Drosophila melanogaster: one gene and its partners. The gene in region 2 interacts genetically with the main gene of each other region. Each region holds a gene or a part of one and is shown on either strand. Other genes may lie near its edges. The genes, in order: beat-Ia, frac and sax.

The links.
Region 1: of frac (region 2) and beat-Ia, changing one suppresses a phenotype caused by changing the other (phenotypic suppression), as found in Drosophila melanogaster (one study listed by BioGRID).
Region 3: of frac (region 2) and sax, changing one suppresses a phenotype caused by changing the other (phenotypic suppression), as found in Drosophila melanogaster (one study listed by BioGRID).

What each region holds. Positions count from the first base shown.
Region 1 is NT_033779.5:16,048,034-16,053,075, reverse strand, and holds the start of beat-Ia (beaten path Ia), read right to left. Parts: upstream 3,112-5,042; 5' UTR 2,366-3,111; intron 1-2,365. Other genes in the region: BicC (bicaudal C), read right to left, coding at 4,871-5,042.
Region 2 is NT_037436.4:7,560,962-7,568,663, reverse strand, and holds the start of frac (faulty attraction), read right to left. Parts: upstream 6,055-7,702; 5' UTR 5,972-6,054; exon of another isoform or gene 5,656-5,971; 5' UTR 5,586-5,655; coding exon 5,531-5,585; intron 4,497-5,530; coding exon 3,678-4,496; intron 3,616-3,677; coding exon 3,493-3,615; intron 3,425-3,492; coding exon 911-3,424; intron 843-910; coding exon 1-842.
Region 3 is NT_033778.4:7,804,493-7,810,621, reverse strand, and holds sax (saxophone), read right to left. Parts: upstream 4,139-6,129; 5' UTR 4,085-4,138; coding exon 4,024-4,084; exon of another isoform or gene 3,610-4,023; intron 3,551-3,609; coding exon 3,421-3,550; intron 3,307-3,420; coding exon 3,271-3,306; intron 3,054-3,270; coding exon 2,978-3,053; intron 2,915-2,977; coding exon 2,256-2,914; intron 2,113-2,255; coding exon 1,702-2,112; intron 1,641-1,701; coding exon 1,415-1,640; intron 1,353-1,414; coding exon 1,203-1,352; 3' UTR 555-1,202; downstream 1-554. Other genes in the region: TTLL12 (tubulin tyrosine ligase-like 12), read left to right, coding at 1-516; Nop17l (Nop17 like), read left to right, coding at 5,886-6,129.

The DNA of each region.
Region 1 (5,042 bases), on a different chromosome or scaffold from region 2:
TATTTGTTAACAGAAAACTAATAAATAAAATCGGGGCATGATTGGATAAACATCTATTTATGCAATAAATATTAAATGCAAGGCAGAAACCAAGACTAATTCAGTTATGCCAATACTAATTGAATAAATCCTTGGCCATTTAACCAGCTTTTGTAGATCAAAGCTCAAGTGGGATAACGAAGCCATAAATTTGCGAGCAAATTCCTTTAGGATTAGCACAACTCATTGGTTGAGTATACACGCACATAATCAGCTTAAACAAATAAGTGAAAACTAATAAGAAAACAGAATTTCGGGGCACTTGCCGAAAAACTAATTAACACCCACGCCTAGTTAGGTTCCTCTTTTTCGCATTTTCGCCCGAATTTCGGAGTGCCTCCGCTCAGCGTTCTTTTTCATAAGCCACAGCACTTGCAGCGCCACCAAATAGTTAAAAAAGAACGAAAATAAAAGATCCAGGCTATAAGAGAAATACCTGGTCGAGAGAAGAATGCGACACCGTTGCAGGTGGCAGTAAAAAATGGCTGAAATTTCTCCAGCTCAACAGCGAACTGGCGAAAGGAGCCGCCGGTCATCCGAGGCTCAGATCAGGACACAGCTCATTAAACGCCGGCCACAGTTTACCTCTCTCGACGGATATTACACGGCCAAAATATAATACGAAGAGCTGTCACACCATTTATCAATGCCAATATTATGCTGTCCGTTTTATTTGAATAAAATCTATGACAATATTCAAAATTTGAACTAAGCGCCAGGAAGTTCGGTGAACACATTGTGCTATTTCAAAGGATTTGATTTTGGTTGGAATTCATAATCTCTGGGTTAGCCAAATTTTTAAGCTTATGCATGTAAAATAATACGAATCCAAAAGGGAGCTCATTATACTGTAACTTTGGTAATGGGTGACAAACTAGATGAAAATAAGCTAGTAAAATAATTCGGAAAATTTTTATATTTCCCTTTAATAATGACTTATGACAAAAGTTTCGTAGATTTCTGGAAAAGTATGACATAAAGTTTATACGCCTTTTATATTCCTTCTCATTAAATAAGCACTTTACTTTTAGGAGAGTTAGTCAAAATGTGTAATAACTCCTTTTAACAGATTTATTTATTTTTAACTCAAAAATCCTGCCGGAGTTTATTTTTTTACAGTGTGCATCTGTTTGCTTGGTCCTATTGTTATTTTTAAGCCGGTCGCAGGATAATCCGAAAAGGCTGGCGACGACTTAATGTGCCCCTTGGCTGTGCTAAATAGCTTTCATTATTTACTTTATTCTCCCATAAAGCGTGCGAAAAAGTTTGGTCCGAGCCATTTTTACAGAGCTGTGGAAATTCCACTGCAAAAACAGAGCAGGATATGGAAAACTGCAGAGATAGACTGGGAAATAAATGTTCCTGCTCGGCTGGTTAAAGGTTTTCTCGTTTTGTTTCGGAACTTTTCCGACTCAGCTGTTTGTGGACACTTGCCAGCACTTTTCTTCGTCCTTCGCCTTCGCCTTTTCCTCTTCCTCCTCCTCCTCCTCCTCCTCCTCCGGCGGCAATAAATCATTTCACATATCAATCAGTCAATCAAATAAATGTTTGACTGCCGCCCAACTGACTGCCCCTCCCTCATCCGATATTGATTGTCCCACTAAATACAATTTTTGCCTAGTCAGTGGGTTGCTCGAAAGTGAGGATGAAAACTCTGCCAGGCAGTTGACATTTTCCATCAACAAAAAATGGGCAAATCGAAGCAGCTAGGACTGAGCTCAAGACATTGTTGCCTAGTTCCCCAGCAACTATGGGAAATGTTTACCAAAAAAGGATGAGCCCGAGGTCCCGGAGACACGCTCCCTGGCAATTGACAAGTTTTGTTTGCCTGTTGGATGAGACGGGCACGCCCTTCTGTACATCTTCCGGCTTATCTTCCGCTGGCTGGGATGTGAAAGGAAACCCCCGGAATCCTCAAATTGCCTTGCCAGGAGCAGGGACATGGTGCATCAAAATTAAACGTCGCAGATTGCGATATATGAAATTACAGAAGCGCAGAGGATGCTTCAAAGTTCGTGAAAGGTTGATGCTTTCGCTGAACTGGCTTATGAGCTGTTACTCAAACGTTATTTGCATTCCCTTGCAAATAATATTCTCAATTATAAACTTTATCAACTATTTTTCTACAACTCTGTTGTGAAGCAAAATTAAAATATTAGTTTTTCAAATTTCAAATGTTAAAAAACTGTTTTTCTTTTAAATAACATACGCTCTTGTGCGTTTCTAGTATACGAGTCTAAATATTCGTAATCATATCCCAATACCCTTCCTGACATCATATCCCAAAGCATCAATTTGTGTCAAAGAGATTATAATGTATTCCTACCTTCAGGTTATTTGGGTAAATTTTCTCTCTTATTATTTTCTTGTACTTTCAATGCAACTGGCTAGTCATATTTCACATGTGAGTATAAGGTTTTGTTTTTTTTGCTTTTTGGTTCTCTCGCTGCGCACAATTTGGCAAACAATTTTATTTTATGCAATTTTCGGTTGATTTATCAGAGAATCCTTTAAGGCGCACCGAGCAAGTATCCTGTCCTGGCGAATGGGGATTTGGTTGTTGGCTTTGGCTGCGTGGCTTCTTGTTGCTCCTTTTTGTGCCCGCCTAAGCCGTTCACTCCTCCCGATTCTGCTGCTTCCTCGTTCCTTATCTCATTTCGCGTATCACGGAGCTCGTTAAAATCACCTTAGAACACGTGACTGCACAAACACACTCGCACTCACACACACACATGCACTGGTGGCGACGAAGCAACAGCCTTACCCACACACACACAGTTTGGGACTATCGCAGATCCTTCGTCGGATCCTTTTCCCTATTTTCCGCCTTCTGTTTTGGTAAATGCTATGTCAGAAACACAAAAACTGCATCTCGCACACACGCACGCCACAGCAAAAATTGGGTTCAGTCCTGCGGTTTCAGTGCAGTTCAACCATTTTTTTTTAAACAATTTTTTCTGTTATTTCCGATGCTCGTAATACTGCGAAAATTGAAATGATGATCTACGCACGTCCTTACGCACGGACAACGCAATGTAAACTGCAGCAGGAGTCGAAGGATTCGCGACACTGCGAGTCCTGTGCACAGATTTCCCAATTGGCGAATGGCCAACGAAGATGGTTCGGAGAATCCGACGTCCTTCATCGGAAAATCACGAATGGAAAAGCGAGGAGAGAGAGAGAGAGAGCACCCGTGTGGTGGGTTTCTTATCCATAAATGCTTCTATTGCTAACTCTGCTTGGTTCCCCTTCCACTGCTTGATTTCCCCTTCCCACTGCTTTGCCTAAGAGAACTGCTTCGTTTTGACTGCTTGATTGTACTCACCACGACTGCCACTTTAAACGGCAACTTACTGTGTACAATATAAAAAAACCAATTGTAACATTATTTTTAAATTTAATAAATTTTTAAATTTTAAATTTACTTTAAATTTTTTAAATACATGTTAGAGTTTAATTACAAGACTTCGGAAGGTAAGTATGCTTAAATAAGCATATATTTTAGAAATACTTCTTCCTGTCTGAGTGTACGGAAAAAGTATATGGAAAGTAAATTTAACGTGGTTAATTCAATTTTCAACTTCTTTCGAAAGAAATTTATAAAAATATATATATTTTCCTACTGTTTTTGAAAGGCCGAGGAAACACATACTCAAATTATACTTATGGCCACTTAACTATGTCCTCCCATTACACAACACTTCCTCTACTTAAAATGGGACCAGCATTGACGAATGGAGGCCGAAACTGGCGACTCTCGGGCTGGTCAGTGACTCCACTTGGGATCCAAATTCAAATCCAGCATAATTGTAAATCAAGCCGCTTGCCAAAATGTCCCGCAAAAGCCCACTCGAAGTACTTAAGTGGAGCATAGCCCCATGTAGATGACCACCAGACTGGGACTGAGATGGCTGCAGAAATTAGTTGCCATTGGCAAAGGCACTTTGCGCCCAAAGTGTCATAATCATAAAAATTTGCAATTATGCTGATGCAACACGGTAGCAACCACCGGCAACTGGAGCAAAACATTTCCAGTTCATTAGCTCAGCCACGCCCCTTTTGCCGCCCGTTTAGTTCGTGTAAGGACACACATTCGATTTTGTTGCTTTGCAAGACTTCTTGGCACGAGGCGAGGCAATACAAATTATGCAGACAACTGGAGACAATAAAGTCATTAACCTCTATTCCAACCAGGCTAAAAGAGTTCAAAGCGGCAACGACTTAATGTACATATATTACAAATGTTTCTACAAAATTAAGCAAATCATATTAATCTAATAATCTACTAAAAAATATATTTAGTTGATTTTTCATAGACATCAATTTATTCATATCAAATGTTTGTGCGTGACTATTTTGCTTATCACTTAATACATGCTGTGCTTTTGTTTTTAATTTTTTTTTCTTTTTCAGTTAGTTTACATAAATTCATTTCTTACAACAAGTGATTTCGTTTAGTTAGATTTCATAAATAATTCACAATATTTTTTTTTTTTGCTTAAGACGGTTTCCTATATAAATAATTTCAAAATAAATTAATCGCTTAAAATAAAGGCAACTACGACCTATTGGCACACTGGGAAAACTGTGCACTTTCCCGAGCGCAGCTATGCTACTTGGAATTTGAGTACAAATGCGAGTATAAGTCAAGGTCAAGGCTGTGTTGTGCGGGAAAGCTATTCGCCCAGGGAGTTGCCATTTTCTTCCTGACTTCTTCCTATACTTTTTACCGTTCCGATTCTCTTGATCTTACGACTACCAAATAAATGGGCATGCAAAAAAAAAAAGAAAAAAAGAATTCGAGGCAATGGGGTCGAACGACAGGAGCGGATCACCACTGGTTGGAGGGACGGCGCTCTGCGCCTGGGGCCGCACTTCCGGAGAATCGCGGCGACGAGGAGTTCTGCGAGGAGCTGCTGCTGGGCATTGTGCTGCAGGCCGCCTCGTTGGCCAGCAGCGTGTGAATGGCCGTCAGCAGCTTCTTGCGAGCTCCAAACGCCGCG
Region 2 (7,702 bases):
AGCAGGAGCAGCACTTATAAGCTTGGATGACTCGTGGAAAAGGGGCTCCAGCCTGAAGAAGGAAGATGACCCAAGTTTCGAGTGCTCTGATGACTCAGAATCTGGGAAAACTTGGAATTTGGTAAAGGAAACTGGTTTTGGAGTTGCATCCAGGGCTTTGAATGCAGGAAATGAGAATGAACTACCAGTGGACAAAGTCGCAAATGGAGCCGGTCTGGGAAGTGATGATCTTGAATAATCAGATATTCGAAACAAAGTAAATGGATTTGATTCTCTAGGTGTTGCAGCCTTAACAGTAATTATTGTGTGACATTTAATTGTGAGCTTGGTCTCCGGATCGTTAACTCTAAAGTCAACCTTATGGACTCCAGCTGGCAGATGACCCTGAAGTTGACCAGCCCAAGCGGGATGGGCGACCAATCGGCCATTCTTAACATTAGTTTGGGGTCTTTGAAGAGTCACATGAGCCTTCTGCTCACCGGCATGCAGTAGGATTACAACATTTTCCGGGCAATTGATATAGGGCCTAATCTGTTCCACATTCTGGATTTGATGAGGAGTCACTGTTTTCGGAGAATTCCACATCGGGGATAATTGATTTCCAAGCAAACCGTTTCCGAATGGCTGACAGTTGAGATCTGCACCGAACGACCAGCCCTGCAGCATCATGCAGGCGGTCAACAAGGATCCGGTGGACACGAAGCCAGCATTGCACTGAAGACGGCAAACGTCACCAAATCGAGATGGACCCTGAGTGCAGCTAGCTGGGAGTATAACTCCATTTTGGGCGGGCTTTAGAGCGGGGCAGATTCCAGGACTCTGTGCACGAGGTTGGTTGATGGCTGCGAAAAGGTACGGAAGAGGTACGGAATGCCAACTGTATAATCTATTACTTAACTTAATGACTCACCAACACACTTGGTTTCGGGCCCCTCCCAAATTCCATTGGCGTCACAGCTTTTGATCTCAGGACCCTGAAGAATATAGCCCGAATTGCATGAAATTCGGCAGCGACTGTAGTAGAAGAGCTTCTGCTTATGGCGATACCTATTGCAGTGGGACTTGCCATTTCGTGGTGCCTGAAATCGAGGGCACAGATCCCTGGGTTGCAACTGATTAACCCACAGACTTTTAGGCACTTCAGGACGCAGGGGAACGGGTGCTTTCGATGTAGGTATGTCAGCAAGGGGCGGAAGCTTTGGAAGACCTTCCCACTTAGGCAAAGATGGAAACTTGGGCTCTGGGTAATCGAACTCAGCTGGTTTCTTGGGATTCTCGGGTATTTCATTGGACAGCTCGGTGAAATCAGGATACTTTGGCGTCTTCAATTCAATTTTGGGCGATTCAGGCAGTGACGAAGCTGTGGGAATCTCCGGCAGAACGGGGAACTTGGGAAACTCGCAGCGGAAGCCTCCAATCTCGTTTATACAGGTTCCAGTGATACAACTAGTCTTGTCTTGGTCACACTCATCGATGTCCTGGCAAGTCTTTTGATCACTATCTAGTTCATAGCCCGGTGGACAGCTGCACTTGAATGAACCCTCGGTATTGGAGCAGCGATGCGAGCAGCCACCGTTCTGCTTCTGGCACTCATCGATGTCCACACACTTGTCGTCCGATCCCAGGGTATAACCCGGATTGCATTCAATTGGAGCACATCCATCCGCGGATCGCTGAGTTCCCGGTGGACAACCCACCAGAGCGGGACTACAGCTACGACCATCGTCGTTGAGTATGTAACCCAAGGGACATCCACACTCAAAGGTACCTGCCTTATTGATGCACTCGTGGCTGCAACCACCGGAAAGAAGGCCGGCACACTCATCCACATCCAGGCAACTTAGCTTGTCCTTGGCCAGCTCATAGCCCCTTTCGCAGGCACAGGCATGGGTACCTAAAAGATTGATGCAGATGTCGCTACAGTTTCCATAGTCCTGCGAGCACTCATCAATGTCGGCGCAACCGAATCCATCTGGAGTTAGCTCGAAACCCGTTTCACAAGCGCAGGCAAATCCCCCAGGTTGATTCAAGCAGAGCTGCGAGCATTGGCCATTGCTATCGAGGCACTCATCAATGTCCTGACAGGTGCGCATATCCTCGGATAGGGCATAGCCCAAGGGACAGGCGCACTGAAAGCCACCAGGCTCGTTCTGGCAAAAGTGGGAGCAATTCCCATTGGCCAGAGAGCACTCATCAATGTCCAAGCATGTATGCGCTGATGGGGTTTCGGATGAGGTTGAATCAGTAATGAATGAGCTGTTTAGTGATGTGACTATGTGGTTATCCAAGCCAAGGGCATATCCCGGTGGACAGAGGCAGGTGTACGAACCATTGAGGTTCTCGCAAAGCATTTGATCACTGCACCCATGAGTTCTCTGCGAGCACTCGTCGATGTCGAAGCAATAGCCGCGTATGCCATCAAGCTTGAGGAGCTCATAGCCGGCGGCACATATACACCCATACGAACCTGGAAGATTTCGGCACACCTGCTGGCAGCCACCGTTATTTACCAGACACTCATCCACGTCCTCGCAACTCTTGCCATCGGCACTTAATCGAAATCCCTCGCGACAGGCGCAAACTCCTCCTCGGGCAGTCAGGCAGATCTGTTCGCATCCGTTGTTGTTCACCTCGCAGAGATTCTCGGCCAAACAGGTGTACTCCTCGACCAGGTTGAGTCCTTCGGGACACTGGCACTGATAACCACCGGGTGTATTCTGGCAAGTGTGACTGCAAAGGTGTGTATCCTCTGCGCACTCATCAATGTCCTGGCAACTGAATGCCTCACTGCGGTAGCCCGTTGGGCAAATGCAACTGAAGCTGGTATTATCCTCACTGGCTAGACAGGTTCCCGGGGAGCACTTTTCAACTCCCTTTTCTGTGGAGCATGGAGATTCTTGCACCAAACAGGAATGCTGATCCTCTGATAGTTCATAACCCTTGGGACACACGCATCGGTAGCTTCCCTCTGGCAAATCCTGGCATTCGTGGGCACATCGAGTGCGATTCAACTGGGGATTCTCCAGATCCGTACAGCTATCCAATGCACAGCTTCGTTGATCTTCGAGCAGGTGGTATCCTTCAACGCAGGTGCAACGGAATGATCCAATAGTGTTCTCGCACTTTTGCTGACAGACTGCGTTATTATCAAGATCCTCAGGACCGTCTACCTCGCACTCATTAATGTCCTGGCAATCAGTGCCGTCGGCGGAAAGTTGAAAGCCAGAATTACATGTTTTTCCGGCGGGTTGTGATTCGGAAACGTTCACTGGGACTTCGTTGGTCTTCTCAATGGGATTCTCCACGACTTCCGTGATCTCGGGATTCTCCTCCAGCGGCTCCACACAGCGATATGAACCTGGCAGATTCTCGCAAGCACCCTGGCAATTCGATGACAGCTCGGGATTCGCACATTCATTAATGTCTGAAAACAAGTATATACCATTTAATGTGAATTTTTTTTCTTTTTAAATATCATTTATTAAAACATACCAACACAACTCTTTCCTGACTCGTCTAAGTAATAACCCTCTTGGCAGCTACATTTATATTCTCCTGGAAGGTTTTCGCAAATTTCCGAACAACCACCATTCGATTCCAGGCATTCGTCGATATCTTCAAAAAGAATAATATTGTCTAGCAAATTCTTTCAATTTAATTATATATAATACACCCACCGAGGCAGCTAGCATAATCGTTAGGATCCAGGGTATAACCCTCTCGACAATCGCACTTATTGATGGGCTGGTTTTCATCTGGATAAAGCAATCGCTTGCAAATGTGCGCACAGCCTCCATTGTCTTCGCCACAATTGTTATCCAAGAATGTTGGCTCATAAGGATCATTGGTGACCTTAACAGATGCATTGCTGGAGTTGAGTACATCAGTTTGGACTTCCGCTTTCAGGGGAGTTTCGTTTTCAAGGACCTCATTTTCAGTTTCAGTCTCCGCTAAAGCAGGTTCTGATTCAACGACTTCATTTGCATGATCATCATTAATTTCGATAACTATTTGTGGTTCAGGCTTGGAATCGGCTCCATCCACTACCGGTGGTGGTGGTGGCGGTGGTGGTTCCCTTTCACTAACCTCTTCATCATCATCCTCATCAATATCACTGTTCTCGACGTAATCGTTGGGCACAGTTTCGTCGGAATAATCTTCCAAATCGTAACCTACTTTCTCGTCGTGTTCTTCAAAATTCAATTGGGGAATGCAGGTGGGTATTTCATCCACCCATTTCTGGTTCGAGCAAAACATTTCTGAGATTCCGTTTTCAAAGTCGTAGTTATCATCGCATACGAAAAAGGCCACTAGGAAGACCTTCTTTCCCCTCCGGCGGCGATCGAAAACGGACACCCTACCATGATTAATCTCCGGCGGAAGGATTTTGGCCGACGAGCAGCTCATGTCCAAAGAAGCAGCCAAGGAGTCAGAAACTTTAGGATCCTCTGGAATATTCATGACATTTTTCCTTTTTCGCTCGGAGCTTGGAGAAGCTAAATGGAAATAGAAATACATTAATTTTTAAGATATAACCAGAAAATTAGCATAAAAGAAACCTGTTGAAATTTATAGGCCTATTTAATAGAAATTCCAGGGATTGGAGACATTAGTTCTAAAAGATTGTGCGATTTTATAACAATAAAGTTGTATGCAGATCAAAAAAAATGAACATGCCCATAACATAAACATAAACGGTTTTCCGTGTTATGCATCCAAAATTATTTAGTGCACTAAAAGATTTCTCACCAGAACTTAAAGGCAATAAAACATTTTATTGTTCGCTCCATACCACAAACAGCTGTTCACAATCACCCAAATATGTTTAAAAAAAAAAGCCCGATTGTATTATCCTAGAATCTTTGCCTTTAAGGGGAATCCCATAAAAACTAGGTGATTCAATCTTTTGAATCGTTGCCAAAAGATATTTCTTTGCCATATAGTCTTCACGGTTTTTTAATTTAATTTGTCATTTTGGGACTTGCTTTGTTTTGATTTACGATCAGTTTTTATATGTTCAGTTTTCATAAAGCCGGCCGGTAATTTGGTGAGTAATATTTCGCTAAAATATATAAGTGCCCCGTGTTAGCCATGACTATTTTGTGTTACACATTTTCCGGAGAACGTGTCATAAAACTATGAATATATGCTCCATTAGCTATAAACCAAACGGTTTTTATGACCATTTTGTGGACATTTTAATGGTCAATATATATACATACATTTCAAAAAAGCAAAATAATCAAAAAAAAAAAATGATTTAATTTAAGGCCTTAAGGCAAATAATTATAATTTCCAATTAAATATTACAATACTCAATAGGTCTGAATTGGAATACATTTTTACATTCTCTATTTAAATCTATTTAAATGATATATTTCGTAATACCCAACCGATTGCCATAATCTAAAGAAGCACAATCCAAACTATAATAATCTTTTACAATCCCCAAAATTCCTTGTAAGCTATCCAATAAATTTCCCATTTCCACAAAATCCGTGAAATATTTTCGATTTCCACCCACACTCACCTGAAGCAAATGCAACGCATGCTAGCGCGCATAAAACATATTTTGCCGCCCACATTCTGCAGCCCTATTTCCGATCCTTATAGAACAGCTGCCACACACCTTTCCACTCTCACTTGTATCGGGTTCTTGGGTTCAAATTTTATAAAAAAGAATACATTAATAAGATTTCACGACATTCGTTTCTTTTTTTTATTTGTTCTCCAACATATTTATGGGAGAAGATCTATATATGTAGCGGCATATAGAGGAGCAAAGCCATTAAGATTAAGGCGGGTTTATAAATAGCACATGTTCAACACTTTTTACATATATTCACAGGTCATTCGTGAAGTAAATGTGTCGGATTTACATCAAACGAAGGCACTTTTTGCAATTAGAGTTCACTGAGAATTTCACTACTTTAATTGATTTAAAACACATAAAAACAGTCTGTATATATACTTCTGTAGTTTAAGGAAAAACCAGGAATAGTATTTTTATTTTGGAAAACGCACCGATTCCGTCGAGAGCCCAGACAAGACTGAGGAGCCAAAGAAATTCTGACTTTTCTCGAAGGGAACGTGAAAACAGTTTTTCGATGTCTCCAAAGATATATATATATATATAAGTTTATGGGTGTATATATGCTGATATTTCATTGATATCATAAAGCAAATTAGTGCGAGAGCGCACAAATGTCACCAGAGGGGGACGCGTAGAGGAAAGCTATTTTTACCCATGGTATTATCATTAGCATTGGGCTGTGATAATTAATGAGGTTCCGTCATCCATTGAACTTGATCGCATTGATCCTTCAGCAGCTGTCAAATGCGGTAGTCTCTAACATAATTTATATTAGCTGGTACTATATAGAATAAATAGTCTGCTCGCTCAGCTACTCTGTAGATTATCACAAATGGTTTTTAATCGTAATTGTAATTGAATACAAAAGGACGTAGTTCGCCTTAAATATAAATAAAGTTTGATACTCGAAGTATTTATATGTCGGACATAATGGATTTACACCCACAACTACCTGTTTCAAATGCAAATACTCATAAAGCATTTTCGGCTCCCACACTCAACAACCGTCTATTCCATCTTTTTCATTTTGACTTTTCTGAATCAAATTTTACTCGTTTATTTACATTTAATATTCTTTTCAACATTTTTATGGAAAGGAAGCTATGTTAAGATGCGTATTAGAGATTAGGGTACCATTAAAAATAACTCATGATTATATTTTTTGATATTCTTTAGTAAATCAAATTGTTTAACTTATAAAAATAACGCGCTTATACAAGGTATGAAATTATTTAAGTATTAAGTATTAGTATTTATTTAAGTATTAAGTACACATAATTTCATAGATTTTTAAAGAGGACCATCAATAAACAAATTGCCCATCTAAGCTCAAGATATTGGCGGAGTGTTAAGAGGTGAAACTTTCGCATGGGGGAGGCCATTACATCACAAGATTGGTCGACTGGGTCTCGAGCACTTTTGCTCTATTGTTGAGCGCATTATTAAGCGCCGCTTAGCTTATGTAATTAATGTCAAGCCAAATGGCAGTGCCAAGAGCCCGAAGTGGAGAGTCTAATGAACCAGCTGCGTGTGCTGATTTATATGCGACTTTTTTAGCTGGTTTGTTTGTACACAAGTATGTTATAGGTCTGTCTATCTGTCCCTCCGTCTGTCTGACTGTTTGTTTGGCCTGGCCAAATTGTGTTTTGTCACCGTCACCATCACGGACGACGTCTCTCGATCGCGCACTTAGGCCTCGTTTATGCGCAGGCTCTGCTCGATACTCCAGTTTCTTGGGCCATGTGAATGTGACATAAGTCGCCGGGTGTACGGCCATGATATATGAATATGACAAAGCGACATGGACAACTTTATTGGCTCATGAAAAGCGCTGTCACTGCTTGACTGACATAAATCGCCGAACGGCAGAAATAGGCATTCAGCGCCACAAGAGCCAATCGATTGCTGCAAAAAAAAAAAAAAAAATTGTCCAAAAAAGTGTTTGGCCAAAATAAATCAAAAATCAATCTTTTCGAAGGGCCCCTCGACGATCATCTCTGTGCGGTGGTGTGGGCCACAGTGAAATCTAGCGCAATCGAGCGATTTGCATAGGACAGAATATGCCGAATCGATTGCATAGTTCTTATCTGATTGGAACTGTCAACCCAA
Region 3 (6,129 bases), on a different chromosome or scaffold from region 2:
ATCCTGTTGAAAAGCGTCAAACCCCTGAAGGCATATATACACCGGAAGTTCTTCCTGCGTTTCGCAAACCATCCCTTCACGCTGGATCACTTCGATGACTACGAGAAACACTACACGGTGATGAACTACCAGACGGAGGCGCAGCTGCATCACGTCAAGTGCGACGACTTCCTGACGCTCTGGCAGGAACAGTATCCGGATAACGATTGGTCGGCTCTGGAGCAGCAGATCTGTAGCATGCTGCTCGAGGTGCTTCAGTGCGCCAGTCAAGCAGATCCACCCTGCGGCCTGGCTCCTTGTGCCCAATCACGAGCTCTTTACGCAGCCGACATCATGCTGCGGTGGAAGGACGATAAGGAGAAGTTGATGGAGCCCCAGTTGCTGGAAATCAACTGGACTCCGGACTGCAAACGCGCATGCGACTACTATCCCGACTTCTTCAACGACATCTTCCGTCTGCTCTTCCTAGACGAAGAAAACGACGATAGCTTCCGGGTACTGACGCCAGACAATTGACATTAACCGAGCAAATAAACCCAGTTATCCCAAAGTTTAATGCCTATTCGTGTATTTCATTTCGTTTAGACTATACAAAACTTAAATAGCTTGCCATTTGTACAATATACAAGTAGGTGTGTATGCTTCTATGCGTGGGTATCTAAGTCCTAAAGGCTTAACTAACTAAGATAGCAAGTCAGTTGGTGGTGTGGCTTATGGTTTTATCATAGCATGGACAAGTTCTAGAGTTATGAATTTAGTGTAAAGTTCAAAGAGTGAGCTTAAAGTTAAGGCGTTTACAATTCTCAATTGCAAATGGCACTTGATGAACAATGAATAATGGTAAATAGTGAAATGACAACTTTACAGGATGATATCCCAAGAACATACATTAGAGTCGATGCTAACTTTAACTTAAGGCAATTTCAAAGGCACCCTTTTCAGGCTAGGCTCACGGTGGAACGGAAACGATAAAGTCAATCCAAACATAAAGTAAATATGTTAAAGTCTTCTATATAACTATAAGCTCCCAAGGGTCTTGTACTTGGATTAGTTTGCTTCAACACGCAGGATCTTGGCTTAGCTTTGAATAATATACCTACGAACTAATAGTGTGAAATGCAGGGTATGTCAATGAATGAATCTTAGACTACCTATGTGGTACAACTAAATTACCGCTTACAGCTAAGGCTCGACTACTACCACTAAACGCAGACCTCGTCGAAGTCCAGGCGTATCTTCTCGTCAGCGGAAGCCAGCTTATGTATAGTCTTTTTGATGCGCAGCGCTGGCAAGCGCACGTCGGGGTTTTGGTGCCAGCACTCCTTCATGAGCTTGGACATGCCAGTCATTAACTAAAAAATGAGAACAACAATGAGATCAAAGATCTAGAGAATGGCAATCGAAAGCGACTTACCGAATCCGAGCTCCAGCGATTGGGAATGGAGGGCCTGTAGTTGTCGATGCAGACCACCTTGCGCATATCCTCGAAGCTGGGATCCATTGGCACCACATCGTAGAAGGGCACCTTGTACTCCTCTGCTATGCCGCAAGAAATGGTGCGGCGACAAACCTCCCAGAGGACAAGTCCAAATGCGTAAATATCTGTCCGGCGTAGTGCTTCGAAGCATTCTAAATCAATGCTACAATAGACAAATTGTTAATGTAAAAATATTCTTTTTTGTACTGCCAATAAGCACACACCTTTCATCAAGAACCTCTGGGGCCATGTAGCGCTTGGTGCCCACTTTGGGGTTGTTGCCCAGGTCCAGTTGTCCTGTGACGTGCGAATGGGTAACGGCCAGTCCAAAATCGGCTATCACGCAGGAGCCGTTCGAGGTGACCAGTATATTCTTTGACTTCAAATCGCGGTGGGCCATAGCTGGCTTGCCTTGCTTGCCGAATATCTCTGTGTGCAAGTGTACCAGCCCATTAGCTATGGACAGGCAAATCCATACCATATCGTTGTGGCTTAGGGCGTTACGGTTTAGGTGATCAAAGAGCGAGCCCAGTGGATAGTAGTGCGTCATCAGCCAAAGTTGGGTGCACGAGTTCCGCGACGTCATGTCAGAGCCGATGAATCCCAGAATATTTTCATGTCGTAGCAATATGGTGCTGAAAAACAAAGAACGATTATTTATGATTCATAGAGCAACAGGTAGGTAGTCATGACTGGACTAGGGCACTTTTCTTCTGGGGAAACAGTTAAAAATTTCTACAGCTACAAATTACAGAGTCACAAATAATCTGTTGCTCACCTATATATCTCTGTCTCCCGCTTCCAGGACTCCTCGTCGCGACTGAAGAATATCTTCACGGCGATGCTTTCGCCATGCCAGTGACCGCGCCAAACCTCGCCGTATTTGCCTCGTCCAATGCACTCGATCAGGGTGACCTGTTTGGCTAGCGTACGCTGCACTAGCAGCGGCAATCCGCTGCCCGAGCCGGAGGTCACCGAGTGCTGCAGATACTCCCTCAGCGTACTGTCCCCGGCGCTGGTGGCGCGGAGCAGCTCATCATTGACCAGATACGCTTCCGGGTCCTGTTTGGTTCGCGAGGCAGCCAGACGCTTGCGATGGCTACGACGAATGAAGAAGATGGTCACGGCGCCCAGCAGAGCGATGACCAGAAAAGGACCCAGAACGGCGACGAGCATCTTGCTTATGCTACTGGTATCCGCGGTTATCACCGTCACATCATTGCTGTCGAAGGGCAGCAGTTCCGGAAAGTCTCCCTCATTGCAGTAATCACCGGCACAGCAGACCACATTCACGAACTTCCCCGTATTGCGTTTACTGGGCCCGTTGATCTTCAAGGAGTTCTGGCTGCAGATCATGGGCAGTTGATCCGGCGAGGTGCTGCAGCCGCGTGACTCCTGCACCTGACCATCGGCATCGCGTGTGCGCGACTTCCAGCACTGTTGAAGTTCGGAAATTAAGTTACATTTAAGTTTTAATCAAGTTTAAGGTGGAGTATTCACCTGAATCGCATTCTGGCAGGTGTGGGTAAACTCATAGGGATCCCGACAGGGCGGCTCGCAGGAGTAGCATTTGTATCTGATAAAAAAAAGAGAGAGTTTAATAAGATTGAAGAAGAATCGGTTACGCAAACGGGCAGCTTTTAATTGTTAACATTTGGGTATAAAAGTATAATATACTATAAAATATTTAAAAAAAATGGGGTTTTTTAAGTAAAATTATGAATATTTTCAAAATTTTAACTAAAAGTTAACCAGTTTATGATGTTTTAGTTCATGAGTCGTGTAGGTTTTACCTTCTCTTCATGCGGCGCTTACTCTTAATGTGTCTCCTAATTAAGGATTAGCAGCATGGCAATTAGGAGGGAAATGAGATTAGCAATACAAAGCCTTTGGGCGGAAGCGGGAGCTACAAGCTATGGGCTCAAGACTTAAGATATAATCACCTGGGATGCGTCTGCACCGAGTTCTGTGGCACGGCCGGTAGCTCCTTGCCATTGAGATGGGCGGATGAGGCGGAGGAGAGCTCCATGTCTAAGTCCGGTATGTCCTCCCGCAGATGATCGCTGATTTCGGCTGAAACATAACAAATGCACATTAAACCATATGCACATAGCATATACATATGTACACACATGGACGGCCCAACCAACACAAACGCCACCAGCACTAACACACACACACACATGCACACAGGCGCCCCAGCAAGTTCTGTATACACACACAGAACGGTGGTGTGCGTGGGTAAATCATTGAGAAAATGCACTTATGCTGCAAACGCCCACGACATCCGTTTATATAATACATTCTGTGGGATCCATCAGGTGCTTCTTTCACCAATCAGCATTCCGAGGGCACTTTTTTCGCCTTGGCCTGGCCAAATACGCAACGCAATTGGCCAGAACCGCAGCATATGAAAACAAACCCAAAACACTCAGTGACTTTTCAAGGCATTATATGTGGCTCTAAAACCCCATAAAATCGAAATTTCTCTTGCGCACTCTCTTCACCAAGCACTTGGTAATTGATTAACACTAATTGATGCCCACCTCTGGCATTATTGTACAGCAGAAACGTCAATAGAAAAACTAAATATATATTGGACTCCATTGCTAGAAATGTTATTTGTCCGAGCCTATCGGAACCTATCGATATACTTCTAGCGGGCAGTGTGACCAGGGCCCACATCTGCACATAACATATTTCACATAAAATACCGGGTCTTCAAATTTCCCAAATCCCCTGCGTAAAAATACCAAAGCACAACACGCACACCAACACGAGCAGCCGGTCAGCGGAAAAGTTTCTAGAACGTCAAACTCGAACTCCCATCAAAGAGTCTTTGGCAAAGGAGCCCATTTAACAGACAATTATTTTATTCAGTGCCGTTGTGTTCACAAAGCATAATTGTGTTCAATTTAGGTAAGTGGAGAAGCAGGAGATCTTCAGTGGAGGAGTTTTCGTGCCATTAAGTTGTTTTCCTGAGTGAAATTAACGGATTTACCTACCCGGTGTCATGGAATATAACAAAACATTTGCTTAGTTAGGGTTTTCATGTCCACTGCGACCGGTTTGTCCAGAAAATCAATGGGTTTCAGCTAGTATCGATCAAACGACAGAGTTTTCCCCCTCCCACAGCGCAAACATGTGTTTTTAGTCACGTAACTGTTATAATTTTCCTCGTTTTCCTTGCAATGGAGAAGATACACACGCCGTAGGGAATCATCTTACTGACCCCCCAATTACCACCCCCGCCCTCCTGCACATATATGTATGTACATAAGTTTGTAATATCAGTTGGCAGACGCAATACAAACATTATCTTTGTATATACATACATATGTGTGTAGAGATGTGGTCGTTTATTGTACAATTAGTTGGGTTGCGCCAGAAATCGCATAATGTGTGTGTGAGCGCAGGGGCTGCGGGGGCAGAATCCCGCTAAACAAAAACAATTGGGGCAAGTGGTTTTTTTCGCGCTTATCAAAAGCCCCTCACTGCGCAGAGGACGCTCTCTCTGTGGGCCGCTCGACTCGCAAAGAGCCTCCAATATTTGCCGGCGTTTCGGGCGTAGCGCTCCCATTCTCATAAAAACGCTCGTCGGGAAAGCATCGCACCAAAACTCGAAAAAAAAAACAGAAAACATTTACGCGTTCTCCTAGAATTTCACAAACTACGCAGTTCGTTTATTTATTTATTGGCCGACAAGTAAAAAAAAAACTCGTGGTCAGTTTGTAGTCATCTACACACATGTGTATCTACTTACATAATGCCCGTAAATCCGGCGGATAGCCGGTGATTTTCGACAGCGACCTTTCTGCGTCATTGATTTAATATTTATTTGCCTATCTGCTGATTAGAATTTGATTAAATGCCAGCTCGGTGTTTTTTTTTGGCTGCGAAATGGTCAGGACCTAGGGCAACCTTGGGACCTGGTACTTACTTGGCTTATCTCAGATTCGATTGGAAAGTTTCCAGAGTTTCGCCAGGTTCCGCAAGATTTAGTCATGCCCTCAAGGTTTATTTGCAAAACTATAAAATAGCCAGGTATACATAGAACTTACATATGTATAGCCGAAACAGAAAAACTAGTAATTTTTCCCAAACGACTTGTCTTGTTGTTATTGCAGTTATACATTCGTAATATAAGATAGCTGATTATCTTACAAGATTGTCCGTACTTACATCTATGTTTATTTGTACTTTCAGAACCTTCCAGAAATAGAAACCCAACGCATTTGCCAAGGAAACGTGGCCCAAAACTGAGCAACCCCTAACAAATAGAAACAAACAAAAAATCAAAACCCGTCGAAGTGATAAGAAAATTTGTATTTGTGTAGTAAAAGTGCCGAGGAGAGAAGAGGAGACCGAAGAGATCCCTCCGTGAGTGAAGTGTGCCTGCGAGAAAGCTATGTCCGCATCTAGATCGCGTAATAAACAATCCAAACTTTGTGACGATGAGCGGCTCGATATAAGCAGGGACGAGTTCAACCGATTCCAGGAGGCCTTTGGCAAGGAGGAGTTCCGCAAGCTCTTCTTCGACTACGTGGATGAGATCCAGGATCCTGAGAACCGCAAGATCTACGAGTCAGAGATCACGCAGCTGGAGAAGGAGCGTGGCGTGGAGGTGAGGTTCATCCACCCGAAGCCGGGAT